Caenorhabditis elegans: one gene and its partner. The protein of the gene in region 2 interacts with the protein of the main gene of each other region in a pairwise test. Each region holds a gene or a part of one and is shown on either strand. Other genes may lie near its edges.

The links. The genes of interacting proteins can lie anywhere in the genome.
Region 1: the proteins of ceh-22 (region 2) and znf-207 interact in a two-hybrid assay, tested with the Caenorhabditis elegans proteins (one large-scale study listed by BioGRID).

Annotation. Positions count from the first base shown.
Region 1 is NC_003282.8:11,307,196-11,313,823, forward strand, and holds znf-207 (BED-type domain-containing protein), read left to right. Parts: upstream 1-3,776; 5' UTR 3,777-3,804; coding exon 3,805-3,845; intron 3,846-3,897; coding exon 3,898-4,024; intron 4,025-4,081; coding exon 4,082-4,307; intron 4,308-4,356; coding exon 4,357-4,671; intron 4,672-4,723; coding exon 4,724-4,863; coding exon of another isoform or gene 4,864-4,911; exon of another isoform or gene 4,912-4,944; intron 4,945-4,964; coding exon 4,965-5,141; 3' UTR 5,142-5,323; downstream 5,324-6,628. Other genes in the region: DnaJ homolog dnj-2, read right to left, coding at 5,519-5,704, 5,751-5,949, 5,999-6,096, 6,144-6,342, 6,387-6,600.
Region 2 is NC_003283.11:10,669,741-10,677,224, reverse strand, and holds ceh-22 (Homeobox domain-containing protein), read right to left. Parts: upstream 4,592-7,484; coding exon 4,380-4,591; exon of another isoform or gene 4,302-4,379; intron 4,245-4,301; coding exon 4,152-4,244; intron 3,355-4,151; coding exon of another isoform or gene 3,332-3,354; coding exon 3,246-3,331; intron 2,994-3,245; exon of another isoform or gene 2,915-2,993; coding exon of another isoform or gene 2,881-2,914; coding exon 2,785-2,880; intron 2,727-2,784; coding exon 2,630-2,726; intron 2,576-2,629; coding exon 2,339-2,575; intron 2,258-2,338; coding exon 2,147-2,257; intron 2,041-2,146; coding exon 1,833-2,040; downstream 1-1,832. Other genes in the region: twk-12 (TWiK family of potassium channels protein 12), read right to left, coding at 6,450-6,513, 6,563-6,661, 7,000-7,193, 7,241-7,410. UniProt on the Caenorhabditis elegans protein: Involved in combinatorial activation of gene expression in pharyngeal muscle. Specifically binds a site necessary for activity of the B subelement of myo-2 enhancer.

The sequences.
Region 1 (6,628 bases), on a different chromosome or scaffold from region 2:
ATAGTCTTTGGATTATAAAAAAATATTTTCATTCAAGGACAACAGCTATTTTCCCACATGGATTCATTCACCTTTAGCTTTCTTTTCATTCACCAACAATTATTATTCAATCGGAATGGTTCTGGACAAAGCTGACGGACAGATGTTTTTTTTTGTCTCCGCACGGAACGGAGGCGCCAAGGTGACCATTTGGAGGGTGTGATTTATGAGAAAAAAGGAAAATAGAGGACACACTGGGAAAAAGGAACGAATCAAACGAATTCACATTTCACTCGTTTCACTTTCTTTTTAAATTTATCCTTTTCTAGCTCGCGGCAACAGGTTCCGTAACTACATATAATAAGTGGTTATAAAGTTTGGGTTACTGTAGCTCTAAAAAACAAACTATTTTCTTCTCATGATCGGATTTTTCCGGTATTTAAAATTCTAAGAATTCTAGTAGAATAACAGAGGCTACCATCTTGCGATTTTTTATAAGGATAAATGCATTTTTCTCAATAGTTTTTTATCTTTTTTTTTACATTAAATTTTTCCAAGTTTTGTAGGTGCTTTTTACAATGTTAAAATAAATGTTTAAAGGTTGTGTAGCCCCAGTTGGGAAAAGAAACTTCTGAACAGTAACTTCTACTTTTCACCAGCAAATATCTTTAATTGTCCAATGTGGAAACTCTGATTAACATCAAAAGGATACTGTAGTTGGTTGCCACGTCATCATGATCTCAACTGACAACTTGTGCAACTACAAACGTTCTCTTTTCAATACAATATATATATTTGTGCCATTTCCACTCCTCTGACTCATAAACTCATTTACGTGCATACGTCCGGTGAGTGCCACGTCATGGTGAACTGTTGCACATATTGGTTTTTTGTAAGAATATTCATTTTTGACGAGAGCGACGAAATTAATGATAAAAGATGGAGGACCACATGTATTGGTGAACTGAAGAAAAGGTCATTGGATTGACACTTAACGATCTGAGAATGTGGACGTTGTGTTTGTGTTTCGAAAAGATTGAACGATGTACTCAAATTGTAAGAGAAAAAAGATATGTATGAATAACTCATGACATATAAGTTTACTCTTTATTGTATTTTTAGTGTACTGTTGGTTTACTGTAGCTTTTAGGAAAGTTATTAAAATTTACTTGAGAATTATGGCTACTAGGAAAGAGAGCACAAATAGCGCTAAATTTTAATGTTATTGGAGAAACCATTGAGCCAGTGCATTGCTCAGTTTTTAACATTAAGGTAGATTTTGAAAAATCCCAATATAATAAAAATGTTTCAATTTTTCACATAAGGGGTTTTATTTTATATATTCTGGCGAACCAGAAATAGAAAATTGCTTGACTAACGCCTGTAAGGAAATTGTCAAAAACAATGGGATATACAGTGCTAAAATGACCAAATGATATAGTAAAACTTCGTTCCTGTGTATTAATTTAACTAGTACAACGTTTATATTTTAATCAGGATTTTTTTTATCTGTCTTAACATGGTAGTCGTTCGACATTGGTCTAAATTTATAGAAAAATAAAAAACATATCGAAACATTTGGCAATTTACCAAATCTTAAATATTTTGGAGTGTTTCTTTATAATATTTGGTAATACTATGTGTATTCAGACGAAACACAAACTGACGAAGAACATCACCAATTTCTTTTTGCCGGAAATACTATAAAAGCTCTAGGTAATCTAGGCGTTCACACGATTAACAATTCGTACCAAAATTAAAATAAAATAAAATGAAATAAGGCTCTACAGTATGCTCAGACATAAATTAAAAACTTTTCTAAATGCATATCAAGAAATTCCTGACCATAAATAATTTTTTAAAAAAATCAGCTCCTTTAATATATCTAAACTTCTTACATATATCTAAAGTAACTCAATAGTAGTTAAATCTTACCAAAAAAAAGTTAAAAATAATTGAAAACTCTCGCTTACCGTCCGAGTTGATTTTAATCACATCATCCTGATAAACGATTCGAAATCAATATCTTGAACTTTTGTTCCGTTTCGTTTTCAGGACGATGTCATATCTAGATCAACTCAAAATATCATAAGAATAAATAAAGAAAGCAGTAAAGTGATGTAGAATGAAACGAACAAGTGAACGGCCCTTCCCATTCTAAGAGGTCCTTTTATTGGCGCCATGTGTAATAGTGTAATAACTAAGAGACACTGAGAAACAGGTGGATGAGAAAAGGGCGCCGAACCGACTGGCTCCGCCTACTTTTCGGAAGATAATGTGCTCGTGAACGGGGAGTGGGGACGAAAAGGACGGAAGAAGAGAGGAACGGAGGACCAGATGAACGATGATGACTGCCGAATCGAAGGGAACAAAAAGGACAGATTTATATGCGAAGTGGCAGGAAAATTGAGGGGTACGATACAATATGGAAAAAAGCTAAAGAAGAAAAGAAGAAGAAGAAGCAAGGTGACGGGTGGCCAGAAAAAATAGTATGAAAAAAAGAAAATACGAATACCGTATTTCATAAATTGGAGGTAAATAACTATTTAATAGATTTTGTCTGAATGAAACTATAATACTCATAAATGAACAGTATAGCACTTTGAAATGTTTTAGATTTTCAAAAAAAAATTTGGACAAAGTTTCGGTAAATTGCTTTTTCTGAATATATAAATAATTTGAAAATAATTAGAATGGGAAAATTGTAGTTTTATTTTGTAGGGTGATATCCAAATTATGAGTGGCAAAATCTGAATTATCGTCACTTTATTTTTTTCTGCAAACTTTATTGAAAGGTTAGCAATGTACGATACTATATCGTTTTGGCACTTTTCAATATTTTTGGAAGCATTTTAACTTTTATTTCAATGGAATATGAACAATTTAAAAATAAAATTGGAAGAAACCATTTTTTTTTATCAAAAAATGATTGGTGAAAACTGTGTGTTTCAAAATTGTTAATATTCCACTTTTGAATAAGTAACATTTCAAAAAAGTTGATTAGAAAAAATTAAATTGTTACAAAAAAACGACAATTCCAAAAGTTTTGTAAGTTCCTGAAAAACAATTGCAAAATTATTAAGAGCACAAAATGCTGAAATATGCGTTTTTAAATAGTTATGTGTGTCCTTTTGTAACAACTTAATTCAAAATTAATTTTTTAAAGTGTTTGATGTGCAATACTATTATAGAATACCTTCAAGGATGCCGTCATAATAATAAAAGTAACTTTTTTGTGTTACTCAAATATAGGTTACGGTAGCTCCACGGGCATTTTAATGACAACTTACATAAAACTTCTAAACAATAAATTCGAATTATCGATCGGATTTATTTCACTCGACTTCATAAAGTTATAGAAACTAGAAGAATCATTACGACTTTAAAAAATATCCAAACGATTTGTACATATGCAATTGCAATTGTTAAGTATATATCTGATTGAACAGTCAGTTTTTTTTTTCTAATTCTGTGGTATACGTTTCAAAATTGTACATTTCCCCTTTTCATTCCTCCATTTATTGTAATAAATTTGAAAAATGTCTCTTTGTTTCGATTCAGACAAGCTATTTGCAAACCATGGTAACCGTTAACAACGGCAGTAAAATAAGAGGAAAAGTGCGCGGCGGGCTTGCAGAGGGCGTGTAACTCCTCCCCATAATTCGTGCGGGACTCTGCAAAATTGAATTTTCTTGTGCGCATGCGTTCCTTTCGAAGAAATATTTTAACTGGTTTTTACATTTTTCTCCTAATCGAGTTTTAAAATTAGTTGAATTATTCTTTTCTTCCTATTTCAGATATAAATACGTAGATTCTCCATCAGAAATGGGTAGAAAGAAGAAGAAGGTCGATAAACCATGGTGCTGGTGAGTTTTTAAAATAATTGTACTGTTCTTGAAGTTAAACTATTCAATTTAGGTATTGTAACCGAGAATTTGACGATGAAAAGATTCTGATACAACATCAAAAAGCCAAACATTTCAAATGTCATATTTGTCACAAAAAATTGTTCAGTGGTCCAGGATTATCGATTCACTGCATGCAGGTTAATTTTTTTTTGTTCTTGAAAAAAGAAGTCATTCGGTAATCCCACGAATTACAGGTACATAAAGAAACTATAGACAAAATACCGGCAGCTGTACATGGCAGAGATAATATCCACGTTGAAATTTACGGAATGCAAGGAATTCCGTCTGGCGCTTATCGTGGAGCAGCTGACGAAGAACCGGACGAAAAACGATCAAGGATGGACAATGGACCACCTATGCCAACTCCTATGCCTTTCCCACAGCATTTCCCATTTCCTGGAATGCCTCCTATGCCGTCGGGTGCGGAAAACATATTTAAGTTCCATTCTAAAAACGGTTGATTTTTTAGGTCCACCACCACCGTCAATGGCATACGGAATGCCTCCAATGCCATCTGGTATGATGCCACCTCGCGGGATGCCAGGAGCTTATCCTCCGCCACGTGGATACCCTCCAGCGCCAGCTCCTGGCGTGTATATGCCTCCGCCAGGAATGCCTGGTGCATATCCTCCACCACGTATGCCAATAGGTCATGGACCACCTGGTGGCCCACCCATGCCTGGTCCTCCTCAAAGAAGCCGATTTGATCAACCTGACGGCGGAGACAGGTGGGGTCCACCAATGCGAGGAGTACCACGGACGCCACCATATGAAAACGAGCATGGTGAGTTTATGGCATTCGTAAAAGCTTGATTTAGCAAGCTAATAAATTTCAGAACATCAAGATTATCAAGCTCCAGATGACTACAATCAAGGAGGATACGATGATCGGTTTAGAGAAGGTGATCGTGGAGGTCCACCGGGAGGTAGCCGATTTGATCAAGTGAAAGCTGAACTAAAGGAGGAAATCGTCGAGGTATATTCCTTGATTTCAAATAATGGGATTTCGATCGAGCTTTATTGATATTTCATAAAATAAAGTTAAATAAAACTTGTTTTTAATTTTAATATTTTAAGCCTAACAACGGTCCACCAACTACGTCTTCTGGTGCAGCTGCCGCTTCTGCTGCGGCAGTAGTTGCATCTAAACTTGGCTCGAGGACAAGAATAGTCTATCCAGATGATCATTCGCTGTCTCTAGAGGAGCGTCGTGTAAAAATGCTCTTCGAAAAACGCAGCAATCCCTATCACTGAGCACTTCCGAATCTCTTCTTCTTTCATGTCCCGCCCATTTACCTTATATTCTGTGTTTTACTGAAAATTGTCCTCTCGTCCATGTTAAATTATTGAATAATCCATCGATGGGTTTTTATTTTTGAAATTCCAAAAAAAAAAAGCAATTTTTATCAATTGAATAAATTATCACCCACAGTAAAAAAAGATTGAAAATGAAGAAAAAACATCAATATTGGTAAGAAAGAAGTAGATTATGCTCGCAAACTCGGAGAAACATTCGAGTTAAGTGAAAACATGAAATGCTATAAAAATTTGATGATAAAACAGCTGCATAAAGGAATAATAATTTAGAAAGAACGAGTTATAAAATGCAATAAGTAATTTTTAGTAAATATTTAATCTTCATCGACAAACGAAATAGTTCCCGCGTTTTTCATATATCTCTTATACCTTTTGTACCGACCCGATTGAGCCATTTTTTCTTGTTCCGCAGCGTCTCGTTCGGCTTTCCACGTTGCACAGTTTCGTTTCAGCCAGCATTCTCGTTCAAAAAGATCATCAATGTCTTCATCAGTGTACTTCTGAAAATTAAATTATTAACTTTTGATGATAGAAAAAAGTATTTACCTGATCGAATTCCATTTGTGAAACTCCAATGTACTTTCTAATGAGATAAAGCTTGGCGTCATCATCATATTCCTCCTTTTGAATTGCAAATCTCCAATACCAAAGTGCTGTCCATTTAATGTATCGGAATATCGTTAATGGGAAAATAATTGTGTGCCATGCGAGAGTATCGTAGATGGATTCTCGTTTGTAGCCACCCCTAAAATGTAGCTCAAATTATTTTACGAAAAATCTCAAGAATAACTGACGTGACATCAAGATTATCAATAATTATTTGCTTGATAACTTCATCATTGTCAACTCCTTTGTTCTTTTTTAATTTTCCATTCCGATCCATTTCCAGCAACTGAAAGCTAGATATTAATTACAGTGCAAGCTTAAAAATCGACCTACGCCTTTATCAATTCCATCTTTAATTGCCATATTGCGGAATTTTCCAACACCGGTTGCATATTCGATTGCTTCTGAGAACTTGTGTTTTGCAGAGAGGAATTGGAAGAGTGAAATGATAAGAATAGTTCCAACAATGACAATTCGAAGATCTACTTTTGGAGCGGCGCGAAGACGATAATATTGATAGTAATTGTAGAATCTTAAATAAAGAATATTTAAGTGTTCATATTCAGAGCGTCATACCTTTGATCAGGATGATCGAGATAATAGTCGTAATTAGTTTTTGCTTCATCATCCTTAAGTGTTTCATAAGCAGTGGCAATTACTCGGAAACGTTCTTCGGCGAGAAGCTTCTCTTCCTTATTCTTGACTCTATCTGGATGATGCTTCCTAGCCAGAGCTCTATATGCTTTAGCTAGCTTCTGCTTATCGAATTCCTCACGATTGACTTCGAGTACTGTAAATATGAATGCATTTATAGTTTT
Region 2 (7,484 bases):
TTTAAAAGTATTTACGAGAAGAAGACGTCTCTAAATGAGGACTACATTTGGACCTAGTTTCATCTTAAAAAAAGAGCTTTTCTAGCAGTTATTGTTTTTGGCTCTTCTATGAAGTTAACTTTGGGAAGAACGGCTGAAAAATTAAAATAACTGTCAGTGTTCAAACACTGTAACGAATAATCTTTTGGCTTATGGAATGGCACACCTAGACATGTCAGTTATCACTTTTCCTACGTAATGACACAAGCTGTGTAATGATCATCTAGATTTCATTTTAAAATTGAAACCACCCAGAATGCTTTGTTTTTCGGGTGAGAGATATGAGGAAAGGCAGTGGACGACAAAACATTCTATCCTTTGATCATCTAATATTTAGGCAAAGTACAATTGGTCTTGCCACCCATTTTCCTTTCTTGCCACCCAATTTTTTCTTATTCTTCAGCCGTTTTTGCTCTTAGTGAAAAAAGCTGAACATCAGTTTTACACGGTAGAATGAATTAACACAAAATATTTGCAGAGTCAAAACATTTGAGCATCTAACCTTTTTCAAGTTGTAATTTTGAGTCAAGTATCATTTATAAAATTTTCTCTCCAATATCTGAGACGACTACACGTCGGAACAAGTAAACAGCAATTTAGCATAGAAAAAGTTGGAAAATAAGAAGATTATAGGCAACGAGTGCGTGGGAAATTTGATGTCAACATGAAATAATAACACGTTTTTATTATCAGTGACCAAATCTCAAATCTTGCTGAAAATGCATCAAATTGAGAGTATTCAATACTAAATACTTACAGAGATTATCTGGGGAAAATGCGACCTGGCTGGCGTTCATCTAACAAAAAGCAAAACACATTGACGTAAAATTTCCAGAAAGATTTCAAAATCACTTGACGTCGGGAAGACTCAAATTAGATGGAATTTTGTTGGAAAAATATTTCTGGCGTTTTTTAAAGGATATATCCATAGGTCATGGCAATACGAATTTGCAAATTTAATTTTCTACGGCAATCAATCTAATCATAAAATTAATTTTCTCTGGTTTAGCCTATTTGGAAAATAGAGTTTTGCGTTGAAATGCAATTAAATGAATTGGTTTTGAATGAGCCGGAACAATCTGTGTATAAGTGTTCGAAATTTATCTATGACTTTGAGAAACTCTTGCGACAATAGAAATAGTTTAAGGAAAAAACTCACATTTCAAAAGGATTCGTTTTTCAAGGCAGTAAAAACAAACTGAATTCATATTTAAAACCAACAAAATGTTCTTGTGTGGACTTTTTTGAAATGCCATGAAGAATGCCATGAAGAAATCACTCAATCAATAATTTATTTTCGTTTTCCTAATTTGTTGAAAGTTTAATTGAAGGGTGAACAAAAATGTTCAAATGCAACTTGGCAATAAGCACACGTGTTAAAAACATTCTATGTCATACATCAAAATGTACTCCCCACTTTATTCAAAACTGCAAAATTTTTTGTGAACTTTCTCCTTGGAAATTGTGTAATCGATACGAAATCTTCCAAATCGTAAAACATGTACATAGAAGACGGTCTGTTAAATGCATTATACATAGTTAAACATACATTTTTCATGTGGTTTCAACGTAAATTTTAAGTCATTTAATAAAATTATCACAATTTACATAAAACATGTGTATGGGCATAACTGATAAAATATTTCAAAAACCGGTAGTCCGAACTGATTTGTTGTTATAAATTTGTAGATCACAATTCGGAGAAAATATGTAATAATGAGAAATGAGCAATTAAAAGTGAGAAACGAGATGTATTCTGGGAAAAATTGACATGGTATAGAGTATTAGAGAAATCAAGAAGGCCACCATTGAGTATTGGTCATGTAGGAAGAAGCTGCTGAAGGTCCGTTTGAAAAATACCCGGAAGTGGCTGGGAGGTAGGCGGAAGGTGTTGGTAGGTATCCTGAATTGGCACTTCCAAATGCTACCGTGTATGGAGATGTTGAGGAAATGTCCGAAGAACGAGCAGAAGAGTCACGGACTAGCATTGGTATCGGCATTCTGTAAATATACAGGTACAATTTAATATTTTAAATTTTGTTTGATATCAACCAACTTTCTCCATGTCACAAAATATAAAAATGAATTGATTTTGAATAAAACTCACGCTCTTGTTGGAAAACTGGCCGCTGTCGATTGACTTGAAAATGCATTGGGCATTGTGGTAAGAAGCGCCGCGTTTATTGGCTTATCCGTATGACTTTTTTTTGTTTTGTATCTAAATTTTTAAAAGTTATAATTGAACATAGAAAAGTCATTATGTAACCACAAATAAATCAAAATTTCATAAAATACTAACCGATGATTTTGGAACCAAATTTTTACTTGAGTCGGAGTAAGTCGAATTTGCATTGCAAGAGCTTCACGTTCAGGCGCGCTCAGATATTTTTGCGAGCGGAATCGTCGTTCAAGTTCATAAGTTTGTGCTTTTGTGAACAAAACGCGACGCTTTCTCTTTTTCCGTTTTCCAGTTCCATCATCTTCTTCGTCATTCTCTTCATCTTCCAGAATTTCATCTTCATCTTCAAGTTTGATTCTGAAAATATACGTTGGAATAAGAATCAAAATTAAATTGAAATTATGAACTCACCCATCTTTATCGCTTTTGTTTCCATTTGATGTATTGCTGTTATCTAGCATATCATTCTCAGAACGTGGAAATTGATCAGGTAGAGTGTACATGGAACCTACAAAATTCAGTTAGGTAGGTTTAACATTTATTTTTCTAATAGGGAAAAAACTTACCAGCAATTCCGTTTGAAGCAAAATATGCAGATGGATCATAGCTGCCGTATGTGCAAGGATCGAAGGAAAATGTGGGAGTAGCAGAATATCCTGAAACTGGGAAAACCCTTGTTTCACTTGCTAATTGCATAATAATTTGTCTGGCTTTAGAATAAAGAAAGGTAGAAGAGGAAAAAGACTCGTGATAGAGAGTCGCGGCGCCAAGAACAGAGAAAAAGCCCCTTTCTGTTTACTTGCATCCATTCATTTCCGATTCTAGGTAAACACGAAATAGCGAATTTAAATAAGAGAATGAGACAGTATACCGTATACAGTATCCCTATATCACCTATATTCAGAAAAGACATACGAATACTGTATAGTGTTCTCACGGGAAGGTGTTGTGTTACTTATTCCCGCATTACATGTTACACAACAATTCGTTATTGGATATTCGAGAAAAGAAGTTCAAATCTACTTACCTGCAAGTAATGGAATGCTATCAGGCCACGTGGAACATTGTAAATTGGTGTCGGTGGGAAGTAGAGTGTCCCATTTAGCTTCGAGTCTGGAAAATGCATAAGTTTGCATGGTGAAATGTGAAGGAGTCGGACAAAAAACAAGCTTTTATATAAGATATGCGGTGTTTTGATTTGCAAAAAGGTACGAGAAGCGGCGATTCAAGAGTTTCAAATAACTTCTCCACCGCCTTTTGAAGTTGCCGAAAATAGTTAAAACTTTATTGTGAAACATTTTCCAAAATGCTTTGATATAAGCGCTTGGTCGAGGAGAGCTGACCATTTTCTAGGTGAATGAATGCATCTTTAAAAAAAGATACGTCGCTTTGTGCGGTTTATTAACTTTTCGTTGATTTTATACTCGTAGAAAACATTTTAAATTTAAGCACAACTGTTATTAATACTGATATTGGAAATTTTCTTTGAAAATGGGGAGAACATGGTTGAAAGTGGATGTTGCATTTTGTCTCAAGGTTAAAGATAGTCAGAACCACGAATCAACAAAACATAACATAACGGATAAAATTGCAACGCTAAAAGGCTTGAATGTCTTATTGTAACACGTCATAGCTATACATAGTAGTTCTTAGGATATTTTCATCCCGTTTCATTGTAGGAAACAATCGGGGAAAATTTGAACACAACGCATCTCAATATCGTTTCCTTATTTTGTGTGTTTAGAAATATACGTTTTTCAATTATTGAATTGGTGAAGGACAATAAAAAAATACTAGAATAAATTTTGCTTTCTGAAAATGTAATATTCGAAATAATTTTAAGCAAGTAAAACTAAATTGTTCGTTTGAATATCATTAGATTTTTGTTTCATAAATATCATTTGTTTGTGGAAATTTCAAAGAAACTGCGTACGATTTGGAATTTTCGCCAAAAAACTTCTTGGAAATAATTGAGTAGAAATGAATAACGCGAATGGAAAAGTTGTGGATATAGAAATGAAACGTCCTGAAATGAACAGATACTAGTGGAGGATGTAATCGAATATATGAGTGGAGGGGGATCTCTTCACATAAAGTGGATCATCTTCAAGACGACAAGCCTCCTCTCCTCTCCGACCTTCTCTCTTCAAAAAACACTTACTTGTTATGAAGTGCCGATTGTGACTGCTGTTGTGGCGCCGCTGATGCACTTGAAGCCGATGAAGCGGCGCCGCCATCTCCAGTTCGAGAAGTGGTATCATTCACTCCGACGCCAACACTTGTAGACAATCCATGTTGCTCCGATGGGCTTGCAACGGATGAAACCGAAGCGATAGAAGGCGTCGCTGCTGCTAGCGCCGACACGTTGAACATCGGCTCTCGAGACTCGAGTGCAATTGACAACCGACCCTCTTGTGCTGATTGCAACACGCCCACCTGTGCTCCCTCTGGCTCGCCAACCCACAAATCGCGGAGAAAGCGAAGACGGTACGGTAGATTTGTATGCTTAGATATCTCTGCGCACTCTTGTAAGCTCAGTATACAATTTCATCTCTTTTGTGACAAATCTCGGAGATGTGAGGATGAGTAGAGTGAAGAGGAATGGAAAGTACAATTTAGTCCTATTTTTTTGAAATTCATTTCTAGTAAAGATTGTGTTATTAAAAAAAAGATCTTCTGAGACTAGTGTAATTAGTTTTATATCGGATACTTAAATATTTCCATCAAGACAAATATATAGATTATGTAAAAACTTTATTACACTTGAAACTATGCCTACTTACTTTTGAAACCAGTACAACATTTTGGCATTCTTTATAAAGACAAGGACCCAATTGCGGAATAGATTTGAATTAGTGGTCATTGTATGCAATTAATGGTTAAAGATAAATCTCATCAAGGCTCCTTTCACAAATTAATAACAATAATCGATTAGGTACCAAAGTCGATATCTTAATACATAACTTTCCATAATAGATCAAATTCTATCTTTTTGCACACGTTATTTATTTGCTGGGGTATGAGCATCTCGGCTAACAATAATCAAGTGTAGTGCTCGAACTATAAGTGGTTCGGCAAATGAGCACCCAATATATTTATGCTCATTTCGTGTTCGCAATGATCCCCCAAACTTTCGCGCACTGGATTTATTCTAGGTTAATGCTCCGAAAGCTTGAACGTAGTTCAGTAACTTTAGGATTCGATTTTGCTCAAAACTTTGCTTTAAATAGTTTTTCTATTAATTTTTACATTTCAGGAAATCAGTCAGAAAATAGTTGCCTGTAAGGCAAATCTATTATCTTGGCTTGAATTTATCTTGCTCTAACGTATTTAAAAAACAAACTCTCATTATGATAGGTTCTAGCGATTTCTGAGTAACCCTTTGAGTAGGTACAAAGCGCATATAGTCGTGCTTAACTATGTAACTGTATCACTTGCTTTGTCTACATTAAGACTATTAATATCACTGAGAGTTTGGCTTAAAAATTTTACATTGAATTCTTTGACTTAATTTGACAATTTTTCAACATAACTTCACTCATATACATATACATTTCCCCGAAAGAAAACTTGTGAACAGTATCACTGTCTCGTATTCACAACTAACCTTAATCCAATTACAAGTATTAGAATCATCTTCTACAAGATTATTGTGTACAGCCGCAAAGGGATGCCGCCGAAAAGTAAACTACCTTATTTGTGGTGTGTACGCGGGAGATGCGTGCGGACGGGCTTCTCTTTGACCTTCCAAAAACTGCTCCCTAATTTGCGCATCATCAATCTTCCTCATCAACAATTTTGGCTTTTGGATCCAAAAATACGGCCGCGTTATCTGTTTGTCCACTTACCGTAATCTTTTTTGCTCAACTTCTTGTTCCTTGCTGATTTGTGTGTGCGTTTCTCCACCTACACACACAAAATGGATTCACAATATCCTCTTCTCTATACTTTTTTACTAAGATTAGGGAACGAACGAACAAAGGTCATGAAAGTTTGTGTGTACATATTAGTTAAAAGAGATTAGTAAAGTATTACTGTTGCGTGTAGGCATCAAATTACTGTATTTCTGCCACCAGGACACATGACAAATAAAAGAGCACACTATTGGCCCACTTCTTATACAATTACCATTTTATTGACACGACATGACCCGTAATACATATAAACCGGATATAAACACTGAAAAGTTGAAAAGACATTTTAGAGTAGCAATATTTTAAAAGTGTGATAATTAAGCCATTGTAGACGCATCTCGTTTTGAAAGTTCATATCCAGAATCTATCATTGACGTCGACCTGAAAATTGAAGTGATTCAATTGAGTTTTAACAGCGAGAAAACATTACGTGGAAGTTGATGGAGAATCAAAATCTTGAGGTAACAAACCACAGACAAGGCGAGCATGTTGAAGATTTTCATCCACGCCAAGTTTTACTTTACGAGCCCTGGAAATGCACAATATTACTTTCAAAGTGGAAAAATCATTGATTGAAATAAATAGCTGGCATGGATATACAGTGGGCAAATGTGATAGCGAGTGTCCAATATATTTTTTGAAATCTTTTAAAGTTTAAACTGCATTTTTGTAAGAGAAGAAATAAGCAAAAAATGTCTGTGAAAGCAGCAGGATTTAGAGTTACACCGAAATTACACAACAACATTTCAAGAAAGCTCATACTCTTCTTCTTTTTAAAAGGTTTTTGGAGTTTTCCAATTCTGAAATATTTTTATACTATTCGGTACAGGAAACATATCTTGGCTGAATAATTTTTTAGGAACTTACTGAATATCTGATAATGAATTCAATCGTCTTGGAGTTAACTGAATTTCTGGATCTTCATCATACTTCTGTTCTTTCTCTAAAAGAGTTCTCAAAGGTGAAGCAAGATTTAATGGACGAGATGGAGGTGGTGGAGGCATTCCTGGTCTTGAAATCAACATCTTTTGTGGTATCCTCACCGTTTCATCTTCATCAAACTGTGTTTACACAATGATATTGATTGAATATATTATTTGAAACCTACATCAAATATAGAATGATTCGATTCACGAATGTAGTATTCATCAATAAATGGTTCTGTTTTGTAATCAAATTTCAGATCTCCAAACGTGAATGACATTACAGAATCTTCATCCGGTGCATGCATTTTATTGGGGAGCAACGTGGACATTGTGGATTGAGATGAGCATGAACCTGTTCAAATATTATTATTGTTTGAGTGATCAAAATCAGTTTTAATAGTTCAAAACTTTAAAGAATATGGAGAA